Coturnix japonica: one gene and its partner. The protein of the gene in region 1 interacts with the protein of each later gene in a pairwise test. Links are inferred from orthologs where the notes say so. Each region holds a gene or a part of one and is shown in the gene's direction. Other genes may lie near its edges.

Region 1 (6,498 bases):
TGGTCCTTCTAGCATGACGACGCCAAGTCATTGTAAATAGAGGCGACGAGAGCTGGGATCAGCTGAGCGTGGTGTGGAGCTGTCAGGAGCTGATCCTGCCCCACTGAGCTGTGCTGAGCAGCAGCGCAGCCAACTCTGAAACTGAAAGACGTTCAGAGGAGGGAAAGTGAAGCTCTTGTGAAAGTCTGTAGTAAAAGCTGCAGGAATAACTGCAGAGACCTCCAGCAATTTTCCTGCAATCTGCTTTCTTTGGTCTTAGAGGTTGTTCTTGTGTGTCTTGTGCATAGAGAACGGAGCTGTGCTATGGTTTGTGTGACTCTGAGTAGGGGGGGGCTGTGCTGTTCGTGTTCCAGATCGAAAGTGAGCACCAGAATCGATGTTTCCTGTTGATCTGTCATGTTGTGCTGCTTTGTTTTCAGCTGAGTCCTTCAGCTTTTGTATTCAATAGAAGCGGATGGAGTTGATCCACGTTCTTGTGCCCGAATGTTCATGTCAGTGTTTGCTGTGCTTCCCGTCCCGGTTTTTGATGTTTTCCTGAAACCTTCCACTGTAATTGCAGCCTCCACAAGCTGCGAGGCAGCGATGTAGCTGTTATAAAACATTCACGTGGTGCTTAACCAACAAATGAAAAATGGTTCTACAAAACTCATTTCTACTGTAATCTCCTCAAAGTTCTTAAAGGCCACACAGACTGCAGGAGGATCACGTGCTGCACTGCTGTCCATAGTGCGTTCTACCTGTTGGTGCGAGACCTTGTAAATCTTGCAGATGTGGTTGTGTCGTTACTGATGTTTTATGGCACTTTCATAGCTGGAGTCCTTTTGCCCACTTTAAGTGACCAATTCTCATCGATCTTACCTTACCTGTAGAAGTGACTTAAGTATATTTGTGGATCTCGGAGCATTCTGGAGCGTTCTGATTGTCTAGAAAATAAAACTCTCAGAGGGTTGCTTTGGCTTTGATTATTATTGTTATTTTGTAAGCATTGGAATGGCTGTGATGTGTTGCTGTGCAGCACAGGGCGAAACGAGTCCTGATGTCTGAGAAAACCCCCATTCTGTTCCATTGTGATCCCAGCTGCACTGGGTGAATTTCTGGGCGTTTCCTGAACTATTCTGAGTATTCTGAGCACTCGTATCAGGTTTAAAGATCTGATTTGTTTACTCGAGATATCACAGCATTTTTCCCCTAGTTTTAAAATTCTATGACCTCTTTGTAGCCGATGGAGAACCCTTAAACTCCTGCTTGCACTGATAAAACTGCTGAGCTCGGTGCCCTCTGGTATCGCCAGGAAAGCACCTGGTCTGTGCAGTGTCAGCTGGGTCGTGCAGAACAAATACCCACAATCTATTCTTTTCAGAAGGAATTTTTCAGTACAAGAACTATTTGGGATATGGAAGTGGGGGGAAACCATGATGTAGGATGTCATATACACAAGTGGTGCTGCTTAGTTGAACCGACAGGCACATGGATTATTGGCAGCCACTGTCCAGGGCTTTGTGAACTCAGGGATTGCAGAGCTGGGCTGTAACACCAGGACAAACACGAGTTCATCTGCCCTGTTGTCCTGCTCACAACAGCTGCCTGCTCTGTGCGAGGAAACAAGAGGCGTTTAGCAGCACTAATACCTGAATGCTCCTCTTACAGACATGGAGGCTTACAGAGGTGCATGGCAGGTAACTCACAGGTCTCAATAGCTGTACCCTGGTCTCAATAGCTGTACCCTGGTCTCAATAGCTGTACCCTGGTCTCAATAGCTGTACCCTTGCCTCGTGTAACGCTCACATTTCGCTTCCACAACTGCACAACAAGGAGCTCCTGTGCCTGCCTATGTCAGGTGAAGAACCACATCCTGCTGCTCTGTTGCTGCCAACCGCTATCGCTTCATTTGCCGTCACCTCCCCTTACACCAGGATCAGCAGCTGACAATCACTTCCTATTGATCCTGATGTGATTTTATAAATTCCCATGTATTTCACTTGCTTCATTCTTCCCTGCCTTGGCTGGCTCACGCCCCATAGGAATTCATGCAAAGCTGTGCTGGACTTTTGTCATCTCTCTGTTCTCTTTCTGAAAGAACACAGACACATGAAGGATTTTTAGTGTGGCCTGCACAGCAAAATTCGAAATGAGACAGAACTGAGAAAACAACAGAAGTTTATTAAAAAGGGGAATAAAAGCGGGGAAATACAACGATCCAACATAAATGGACGTAAATTGAATGTGAAGAGAGGAGAGACTGCGAGAATGAAAGTGGGGGAGGAAAAAGCCTTTAGGTGCCTTCCTGCTTCTGCTACGATGGGGAAAGGAACGTAAATTGATTCAAGATGGAATGTCTGAAGTTTATGCAAGGGAAGGTTGAAAGGAACCGAGGATACAGCTAAGGCAGAACATGGGACAAGGGATGATTAACAAATGAGGGTCAGGAGAGAAAAGACGCTGGTGGTAAGAAGAGGAAGGTGAAGGGTGTCAAACTTGGAGCGAGAGAAGTCGAGAGGTGGAGGTTGATTGAAGGCGTTGTGCTGCTTTTTCCAAAGACAACTGAGATGTGAAGGAAAGACATCGCATCTCCTCCTGGGGAAGCTGCAGATACGTTAAGGAAGGATTTGGGTCATTTGGGCCCGTGTTACACATAAAGGTGTGAGAAACAACCGGGACATCGCAGCCCCACCCGGACGGATCGTGTGTGTGTGCGGGACGGAAGCGGCGCGAGCTGCAGGGCGGTCAGACGTCGGGAGCTGCTGGGCTGTGGCTGCAGTCGGTGCGTTGCCCCTTTAATTGTGTCCCCAGCCCTCGGGCGTCCGTGTCCAACGCCCACGTCAGCAAATACCTTTTGTTTCTCTCCCGCTCGGGCTTCCAGGGCTCGGGGCTGCGGGAACGGGGCGCTGAGCGTGGCCCGAGCGGAGCCGGGGACCCCGCACCCTCCGCCCGCGCCTCCATCGCGACCGAGCGAGCGGCAGCCGCCCGCGGAACCCGGCGGTGAGTGGCGGCCGGGGCGGAGGGAGCCCGTGTGCGGGGCTGCGGGCGGGACGGCGCCGGGAGCCGCAGCCCCGCGGTCCGGCCGTGCCGCCGTTCGCCGCCGGGAGCCGGGCGGGCCGCGGAGCCCCGGCAGCGCCAACGGGCGCCATTGGCGGCCAGAAACCGGGCGAGAAGGAGAGAAACCGGGCGCGGCAACAAAGGGCGGCGCGGGAGCGGAGAGCGGGGGGGGAAGTGGGACTGAGCCGGGCGGGGCGGGCGGGGGCGGCTCAGGGACACGGCGGGAGCGGGGCGGGAACGAGCGGAGCCGGGGCCACGGGGCGGCGGGCGGCGCGTCCCGCACGGAGCCGAGCGGAGCCGAGGGCAGCGCCACGCGGGACGGCGGCCGAGGGCGCCGCTCCGTGTTAAAGCACCGGGAGCGGGGGCGGCGGCCCCGGGGCGGCATCGCGGCCGATACCGGGCGGCGGCTCCGCGCCTTGGCGGGCGGGCACAGTGCCGCCGGGCGTCACGGGCTGCCGGCGGCCGGTGCGGGCGGGGCGCGGTGAGTGGCGGCGGCGGCGGCCAATGGGGGCAGCCCGGGACGGGAGGGATGAGGCCGGAGCCGAGTTCCCGTTTCTGGTCCCTCGGGCGGGGATGGATTCGAGCCCGGCCGGATTCGGGCGGTGCGGGAACGGCAGCACCGGGCACAGGCCGCAGCTCTGCCGGTTCCCTCGGGCTCCTCGGGCTCCTTGGGCTCCTCGCCATGACGGTGAACGGCTGAACGGTGCCGCCGCGTTTCTCAGCCTCCATCTGAGGATGCTGCTGCTGCTCATTCGGAGCTCTGACATCGCTGCCAAACAGCACAGGCAGCCTCACATGGACTCGTTCCATCCTTTTCGAACAGCAATGCCTGGTGGTGGATATTGGGATATTTAATTCAAATATATTTGTGTGTTTCAATAAGATTATTTTTCAGAATATCCATTAAATGGGGTCTGCCGGCCTTGGCGAGCAGCGCAACGTGGAATTCACGATTGTAATTTGTTTTAATCCCTTTGTTTCCTAGAGCACAGCACATCTGCTTTGGGATGGAGATTTCGTCCCACCAGTTTCACCTCCTGGAGCAGCTCAATGAGCAGCGCAGGCAGGAGCTGTTCTGTGACTGCAACATCCTGGTGGAGGGCAAAGTGTTCAGGGCGCACCGCAATGTGCTGTTTGCCAGCAGCGGGTACTTCAAGATGCTGCTCTCGCAGAGCTCCAAGGAAATGACTCAACCCACCACCGCCACCTTCCAGGCGTTTTCTCCGGACACTTTCACAGTTATTCTGGACTTTGTGTATTCGGGCAAACTGTCTCTCACTGGTCAGAACGTCATCGAGGTGATGTCGGCCGCCAGTTACCTTCAGATGACCGACGTTATCAGCGTGTGTAAAACGTTCATCAAGTCGTCTCTGGACATCAGTGAGAAGGAGAAGGATCGATACTTCAGCCTCTCAGACAAGGAGGTGAATTCCAATGGCGGGGAGCAGCCGTGTCTGTACGGCGCGGGCTGGAGGGCAGAAAGCAGCCCCCCACATCCACAGCCAAACCCAGAGCAAGGGACGTGTATGAGGGGAAACACTTGGAGCAACTTCAACTACTATCCAGCTTCTCAAAGAAACACGCAGCAGCAGCTGTCCAAGCACGAGCAAAGGCAGGATGCCATAAAGAAATCCCGACACCCGGGACTGCAGCAACCCGCTGACATTCCACACTATAAATCCAGCAAACTGGAGGACAGGGCTGCTGAGCCTGCTGGCCACATTTCTCAACCTGAGGACCAGGTTCAGATTGAGGCAGAAGCGGAATCTCCTCACGTGGGGTTTCAGTATGGCCAGGGCTCCGATGTGATCTCCAGGCGCTCAGCCGTGTCGCAGCAGGAGCGCGACTCGCCCCGTCCTTCCAGCAAATCCAAGTCTCCAAAAGCAGACGAGCAGTACCCCAGCATGCCCTCCATTGTAGGTGTGATGGGAGGCTGGGCTGAAGGTAGGAGGGGGTCTCCGTGCTGTGTCAGTGAGAAACACACAGTGCTGAAGGAGCATTTACCAGAAAGGCTTTGTGTTTTCAGGGATGTAGGCTTGGAAAGCTGAGATCAACACTTGGAGAGTGATGAATGAGTGAAGTTGAGCTTTGCAAAGTACATATTCTTCATGTCTTAGAGCTACACAGTCACGATCGTTTTGGTTTGTTATTCTCACTGTAATGTTGCTGATAGCCCCGCTCCTTTTCCCTCGATGTTGTAATTTACACAAGAGCTGTATCTGAAAAGACCTACAATGTCTTTAAAATAGAAGCCATTTTCTGTTCTGTTTCTGTTGCTTTCAGTAACTGGAGTAACTAAACGACGGGTATGTTACGACTTCTTTTAAAACTCCAACTGTTTCCCAGCAGACGATCTGCCCAGGATGAGGTTCAAGTGCCCGTTCTGCACTCACATGGTGAAAAGGAAAGCAGACCTGAAGCGTCACCTGCGGTGCCATACAGGAGAGCGGCCGTACCCGTGTGAGGCGTGTGGGAAGCGGTTCAGCAGGCTGGATCACCTCAGCAGCCACTTCCGCACTGTACGTATTGTTGGTAACCGTGAGTTTCACTTGATGTGTGAGTCCATCTCAGTGTGATTAAACACAGTGCCAGCCTGTCTGGTTGATACATTGACTCCCGTAAAGAATAGGGAGTAGATAATTAACTTGGTTTTGCTTAAGTCCATTTGAAGCATAATTCCAATGAAAGAGGATGAGTTCCTTTGTTGGCTCACAAAGGCACTGCACTGCGTGAGGTCTGTAATGGGATGAAGTGCACAACTGGAGCTCCTGTGGATGTCTCGTGATTGATGTCTGACCGCTGCTCACAATGAGTTAATGCTGACATTTGATGGCACTCTAGCTTTACTTTTTGTCATTAAACGCTTCCTCTCTGATGCTGTATAAATGGATTCCTCTCAATTTTCCCAGATTCATCAGGCCTGTAAGCTGATCTGCAGGAAGTGTAAACGCCACGTGACGGAGCTGACGGGACAGGTGGTGCAGGAGGGGACCAGGCGCTACAGGCTCTGCAACGAGTGCCTGGCTGAAGCCGGCATCGACAGCATCCGCATTGACTTGGAGGCTGAAGCGCCCCTTGAATTTCCAGCAGACGGGGATAAGGATTCCAGGTGGCACTACGGGGAAGACAACAAATCCGATGTGGAGATCGTGGAGGACGGGTCGTCTGACTTGGTCATCCAGCAGGTTGATGACAGTGAGGATGAAGCAGAGGAGAAGGAAGTAAAACCAAATATCAGGTAGTTGTGAGACAAACACGAGTGCATGGAATTCCTTTTACGTGGAAATCCTGTCTGCCCGTGAGCCCTCCACCAGCCTGACATCTACAGAGACCTGCTGGCTTCTCTTGGACAGGGCCAGACTTGCATGTGTTCATGGACATATCATTGAGTCCATCCTGAGTTTTGCTATCGAAATCCCCATACTTTGCTTCATTAGAAATAATGTGCCCTCAATGGAGTAA
Region 2 (6,507 bases), on another chromosome or scaffold:
CGGCCGCCCCTCACCGATGGCGTTGTGGATGTCCCGCACGATGCCCTTCAGCTGCTCCTGCAGCGATGCTGCAGGTTTGGGCCCAGCCGTGGTTTCTCCTGGGGGCCAGTCCTCAGGCGATGCCAGGAACCGTTCCAGGTCCTCAAAGGAGCTCTCCCGGGGAGACCGGGGCTCCCCTTCTGCCCTGGAGGCATCGGAGCTGCCATCGGCCAGGGTTGCTCCGGAGATGCTGTGCCGCAGCGTGGCTGGGCCGTGCTCCGGCACCGAGAACATGCAGTGCAGGCTGCGGGAAGCTCGGAGCCGCCGCCCCCCCGGCTCTGCAGGCAGCAGCCCCCCTGCGTCCAGAGAGAGGAAGGCGAGGCCGATGGGGGCTGCAGGGGCGGCCTCGGGATTGTTCTGGCTGACAGCTGGGTACAGCCGAGTGTACACCGCACACTGCAGCTTGCGCAGGAGCTGGGCAATGGGGTGCTCTGGGAAGCTGGAAGCAGAGGGACAGGGGTGAGCAGGGGACAACGGCAAGTGCTGTGGCCCTCCAGCGATGTGAACAGCCCCCTGTCAGCCCCACAGTACCTGAGGAGGCAGGAGAAGAGCCCCGTCACCAGGGACAGGTCTGACGGGCTCCTCTTCAGCCTGGCTTTCCACTGCCGCGGCCAGTCCTGGGGGAGTGCTCACAGCAGGTTAGTGGGAATAGCCCCTCTCCCTGATTCCCAGCACAGCCCTCTGCATTCACAGCATCCACAGCAGCAGCCTCCAGCGCATACTCACGTGGTCCTGTTCATACTCGAGGATGGCAGCATAGAGCTCTCTCTGTTCCTGCTCCTCAGGGGTTAGGGCCACACTGCTGGAGAACCTCCTGCGAGTGCCACAGTGCCAGGTGAGGGGTCTGCAGGGAGCTCCGCACCCTCACGGTCCCCACTGGGACCCCCCAGCCCCGCCCTCACCTGTTGGCCGCCTCCTGCAGCCGCAGCCGCCGCTCCTCCATTTTCCTCTGCAGCTGGGCCATGGCAGAGTTAAGGCACTGGAAGTGCCGCAGCAGTGAGCCAGCATCTCACCCGGCACAGCCCTGAGGTGGCTGATGAAGTAACAGCCACAAACACAAGTCCCCTGCTTTAGGCACTCCCTTAGTGGAAAGGATACGGTCTCCTCTCGTGCCCTGGCTATCACCAGGTTCTCCATCATCTGCCGCTGTAGAGACAGCGTCTGCCAAGCAATGAACACTACGTGGGTGACACCTGCTCAGAGTCCCAGTGCGAGACTCATTGTACCCAGCTCCCCACTCACCAGTGAGGTTTTCTGCAGGGCCTGGCTGGGGTTGAGCCGTGCCACCCGCGCCTCGTAGGCAGCCTTCAGCTTCTGGTTCTGCAGCGATGCCTCCTCCAGTGGCGTCAGCTCCCTGCAGGGAATGAGCTGAACACTGTGGTGGCCTTCAATGTGAGCCAGGCATCCTGGCCAGCTGGGACCCTTCCAGGCTGAAGAAGAGCTCTGCGATCCACAAACTCACCCCACAACATCCATAACCACCTCTATCTATAAGCCGTGTCCCTAAGCTCCGCACCTACCTGCTGCTTGGGAGAAGAGCCCAACCCTGCCCTGCTTTTCTCCATTGAGTGGAGCACTGTGGTCCCCCTGCCCCTCCTTTCCCCCCTCCCCATAGGATTTGTGCTGTGGTCCATTTGCACTCGCTGTCCCCCAGCCCCACTCACTTGCGCACACTCTGTGCCTCAGCGATCTGCAGCTTCTGGAAGATCTCTGGTGGCAGGAACGGTGACAGCTTCCCTCCCTCGTCAGAGAAAACCCTGCGGTGCCTGGAGATGGGCGCGGGTCCCCCCGCTGTGCTCGGTTTGCCCTTGTTTTTCCCTGTGCGGGATGACACGGCTCCATCAGCCCATTGAAGGCTCCGGTCCCGCTGGTGCTGCCGTTACTCACCCAGCGTGGCCGCCAAGGACTTGACCCTCTCCAGACACTGCTCCGCCAGCTTCAGCATCTTGGGGGTGTCGGGGCCGAGCCCTTCGCTGTGCTCTGCGATATGGGGGGTCACTGCCCTGCGAGGGGCGGGGGGAGGGACCGGGGGGGGGGGTTGTTACCTGTGAGCCCCGCCTCGTCCTGCAGGGCCTGCGAGATGAGGGCGATGCTGTGCAGGTATTGAATATAGGCGTCCTGCGGTGACATCAATGGGGATGATGCGGGGATGGACACGAGACCTGGGTTATGCGGTAGGATAACGGCCCCCCGCCCCGTGCCGTGCTGCTCACCCGCGTCCTCCCCGCGCTGTCCATCTCCAAGGCCCCGCTCGCCGCCCTCATGGCGCCCTGCAGGGCCCGGCCCGGCCCGGCTCCATCCCCAGCACCGCCCGCCGCCGCCATCACGGCCGGAACGGAGAGAGCAGCGACACGGAGTTCCCGGGGGGAACTTAAAAAGCGAAGGGATGAAACCGGAAGTGCGGCCGGAGAGTGTTTCCGGAGGGACTTCAAAACGGAAGGCACGAACCGGAAGTGCAGCGGCGGGTCTTCCGGCCCACAAGAGGGCGCCGTTCGGGCGGGGCGCGGCGGGACCGGGCGGCCGCGATGAAGCGCGATCGGCGCGGGCGGTTCCTGGCGGCAACGGGCGGCACCGGGGCGGCATCACCCGATGGACGGGGGCGGCCAAGGGACAAAGGGGATGAGGAGGAGCGGGAGACCGGGACCGGACCGACCGCGGGGTGGGAACCGGTGGCGGCGGAGGAGTCCGGATGGGCACGGCCCGGCGGGGCGGCGGACGGAGGTGAGAGACGGGACGGGACGGGACGGGCTGCGGGGCAGCGAGAGACCGGGGGGAACCGGGGGGAACCGGGGGGAACGGCGACATGAGCGGCACCGACACGGGGTAACGAGCTGCGGGACGCGGCCTGTGTGTGTGTGTGTGTGTGTGAGTGCGGTCAGTGACGGCTGTAACGGGGCGCTGTTGGAGGCGCTGCGGGCCGTCACGGCGCTGTGAGCAGCCGGGAGTCCCGGTACAGCCAGCACCGGGCAGTGCACGGACACAGCCCGCAGAGCCGAGCTGCCGGTCGGTCTGTGCTATGGGGCAGCGGCTGCTCCATCCCCGGTGTGCAGCTCATCATTGGTGCCGTGTGCGGCTGTGGGAGCGTCACGGTGATGGCAGCACGGGGCTGCGCTGCGGCTGCTGCATGTTCGTACCATAAACAGTGGAGGGGGAATAGGAGCATTTGAGCTGGAGCAGCGTTGGTGGGAGCTGGATGTGTGAGAGCCTTGAGAACAACGGAGCCAGGTCTGGAGCAGCAGCACAGGGCGGGGATGCCATACGGGGATGGTTTGTGGGGTCCCAGCGCTGCTCGGAGTCACGCAGGTCTCGCTCCCGGTCAGTGCTGGTGCTGAAGCCGGGGCTGTGACGGCAGCGTGGGCTCGGATGACAGGACGGGGATGTCGCCTCGCAGTGTCCCATCGCCCTCGGGCTGCAGCTGCTGCGTGCTCCTGCAGCCGCATCCCGTCCTTCTCTCGCAGGGGTCGGCAGAGCGCTGAGCACCGGGTACTGCCGCCTCTGCCACGGCAAGTTCTCATCCAGGAGCCTGCGCAACGCCTTCGGGAAGGTCCCTGTGATGGGGGAGAACTCGGAGAAGCAGCGCCGCGTGGATCAGGTTTTCTTCACGGATTTCCAGCGGCTCGTGGGGGTCGCGGTGCGTCAGGACCCAGCGCTGCCGCAGTTTGTCTGCAAGAAATGCCACGCTCAGTTCTACAAGTGCCGCAGCGTCCTCAGGACCTTCATTCAGAGGGTGAACGCGTCCCCCACCGGCCACGTCAAGTCGAAAGGAAAGTAGGTTGCATCTCTGTGCTCCTGGTGGTCGCTGGGAGGAATGAATGGCCGCGTGTTCAGTATGGTCCCTCTAATGCTACCTGTGCTGTTCTGGCTTTTGCAGGAGCGGTGCGGCCCCGGCCCAGCCTGGTGTGGAAGGAGGTGCCTCCTGTCTGGGTGAGTAGCTGCTCACGGAGCAGCAGGGAAGGGTTGGTTGTCAGGGGTGCTGAGGGCGGTTCTGGCATATGGGGGATGCAAAGAGCAGCCTGTAGGCTGCCTCCCTCACCTGCTGCCGTGTGCCTCAGTGTGGGTGTGCAGAAGGGACGGGTCTGCAGGCTCTGACCCTGTGCCTGCTGCTTCTCCCCTTCCAACAGTCGACCTGATCACCTCCAGCCCGCAGTGCCTGCACAGCCTGGTGACGTGGGCACACGCACACGCCGGGGGCTGCCAGTCGGTGCCGAGCCTGCAGAGCGTGCTGTCCTCTGAGTACTGCGGGATCATCCGTGCGGTCTGGGGCTGCGGGGACGGGCACGACTACGTCATGGACACGGATTCTGACTGTAGCACAGTGCTCGTTGATAATGCCTTGGCTGTCAAACGGGAGTGGAACAAGAGCATGGCGCAGCGCTTGACGGACAACGGGGCGGACAATGCTGAGGCTGTTCCTGCTCCCAAACCCCAGCATGCTCCAGTAAGGACAACTCCTTGTCAGCAGCCCGCAAACAAAGGGACCGCAGCAGTGCCACTGAAGTTGGAGAATGAGCCATCGCAGAACAGGGATTCATCTCATTCTCAGCAGGACAGCACAGCCTCGTTACAGGAGAAAGCCTTGCCCCAGCCCGTGTCACCACTGAGCGGTGCCACAGGTAAGGGATTTCCCTTCTGATCGCACCCCAGGCCTCTGGGTAAGACAGAGATCTGCCCAGGGAGCGCTGCTGGGCCTGGCTGCCCCTCCTTGGGGACTAATAGGGCATTTGACCTGTGGCTCAGAAGTGCTGGTTGCCCAGAGGATCAGCTCTAGTCTTGCAGAGGGAAGGGGGATGTGAAGCTTTGGCTGGCCCAGCTGTCGTGCAGCCAAGCTGGTCTCCTTGCCTCTGCACATTGTTTTCCCTTCTGATGATGGGGTGAGATGTGGCTGTTCAGCTGGCTGTGTCTATCTGGCCCTGCTCGCACCTGGGACACGCACCATTCAGGCTGTACAGAGCGGTCCCATTCTGTCTGTTTGCCAGGTGGTTATTTGGGATCAATCCAAACCCTGGCTATGTGTCAGTCTGGGGGGGGTTTCCCACCCCGCTGTGACTGCAGGGCAATGTGAGCAGCATGAGGCCCAGGAGCCGTTTCTGTCTGCACAGGCAGCCTTGCTCTTGGGCTGCCTTAATACAGGTTTGCTGCTGCGTTCTTCTGTCTTTTAAAATATGGGGCTTAACACTGATTTTGAGTTTCAGAAGCTGGGATCTGTTTAGCTCCGGCAGTCACATGACGATATGTCTGCTGCTGGAAAGAGAACAGGTAGTCGGAACTGACTGGGGAAGGCGTCTGTTGGTTGCAGAGCAGTAGTGACCTTTTCGTTGCTTTTCCTAGTAACGTTCCTTGTTCTCCTTCGTTCCCTAGGACAGTTGAGTGGGAAGCAGGTTCTGTCTACAACGTCGGATGAGCGGGTAAAAGACGAGTTCAGTGACCTTTCTGAGGGGTGAGAGAAGAGTGGGTTTAAAATAGCCTTAATGTCTTCTTTGCGAGTATGAAATGACCGCGGAGAGCTTCTCCATGGTCCTCAGAAGGCCCTGGGAGGTGGCACTGAGGGGCAGGGTGGTTTCTCTGCAGCCACGGTCGTAGCACTCGGCTCCCTCCCACGTGCTGCACACACAGCGTGCGCTGTCTGTTGGTTGCTTCCAGCACAGCTGGCTGTGTTGTGCACTGCCCCATGCTCTGGGATAGCAGCAGCCGTGGCAGGGCGGTGTGGGGCTGTGTGGTTCTGCACACTGGCAGAGCTGCTGCTCCGGGCTGTGTGCTGGTAGAGCTGCTGCTGGTTCCCCTCTGCAGCTGTGAGCATTCAGTGTGGGCTCGCAGGCAGGAGCTGCTGCTCTGAAATCACCCTTTTTGTGCACAGGGAGGAGAGTACAGGAAGCCCGAGTGGGATGCAGGCTGCTTAGAGATTGTTCTGAGCTAAGATTTGGCTGAGCCCTCCAGATCTAGTGAGGTGTGTAAACAGCTGCCGGTTGAGTGGAGGTACGGAGGGGCCAAGTGCAAACTTACTGTGGTGTGTCAGCTAAATCTGTCAGCTGTCGTGTCGAAAGCACCACAGGAACCCGCTGCCCCTTTCCTGGCTTCAGAATTAATTGCGTCTTGTGTAGCTTGGGATTTAAAAACAAACAGAAAGATGTGGCTCCTCCCTATGAGGAAATACTGGATGACCTGTAGCTTAATTCACCTGTGCCAGACATTCTTGCTCTACAAAATGACTTTTATTAGCATAGGAAGTAGTTTACAACATCAGACCCTCTCAGAAGCAGCCATTTTTGTTCTCCTGGCAGCAGTTCAGTGATTCTTACAGAGATCTGGTCCTAAGAGGAACCAGTTCTGCTCTTTGCTGTGTTTGGGGGCTGTATTTGCTTTGGGAGATTGTGGGGGAGGAGAACACGTGGAGCCTGGGTTGCCATGCTGTTCTATGGGGAAGATGAATGCTGGAAATAAAGAACATGTTGCTGCTGCTGCTGAAGTGTC

What was found. The genes of interacting proteins can lie anywhere in the genome.
Region 2: the proteins of zinc finger and BTB domain-containing protein 8A (region 1) and ZNF276 interact in binary tests that used the Homo sapiens proteins (3 or more experiments, as listed by UniProt). The two-hybrid records come from large-scale screens. The link is inferred for Coturnix japonica from reciprocal best matches to the Homo sapiens genes ZBTB8A and ZNF276.

What each region holds. Positions count from the first base shown.
Region 1 is NC_029538.1:4,571,873-4,578,370, forward strand, and holds the start of zinc finger and BTB domain-containing protein 8A, read left to right. Parts: upstream 1-2,166; 5' UTR 2,167-2,979; intron 2,980-3,556; exon of another isoform or gene 3,557-3,904; intron 3,905-4,021; 5' UTR 4,022-4,043; coding exon 4,044-4,980; intron 4,981-5,382; coding exon 5,383-5,555; intron 5,556-5,945; coding exon 5,946-6,278; 3' UTR 6,279-6,498. UniProt on the Homo sapiens protein: May be involved in transcriptional regulation.
Region 2 is NC_029526.1:16,728,220-16,734,726, forward strand, and holds the start of ZNF276 (zinc finger protein 276), read left to right. Parts: upstream 1-2,450; 5' UTR 2,451-2,564; coding exon 2,565-2,760; intron 2,761-3,497; coding exon 3,498-3,807; intron 3,808-3,910; coding exon 3,911-3,963; intron 3,964-4,160; coding exon 4,161-4,652; intron 4,653-5,397; coding exon 5,398-5,476; intron 5,477-6,507. UniProt on the Homo sapiens protein: May be involved in transcriptional regulation.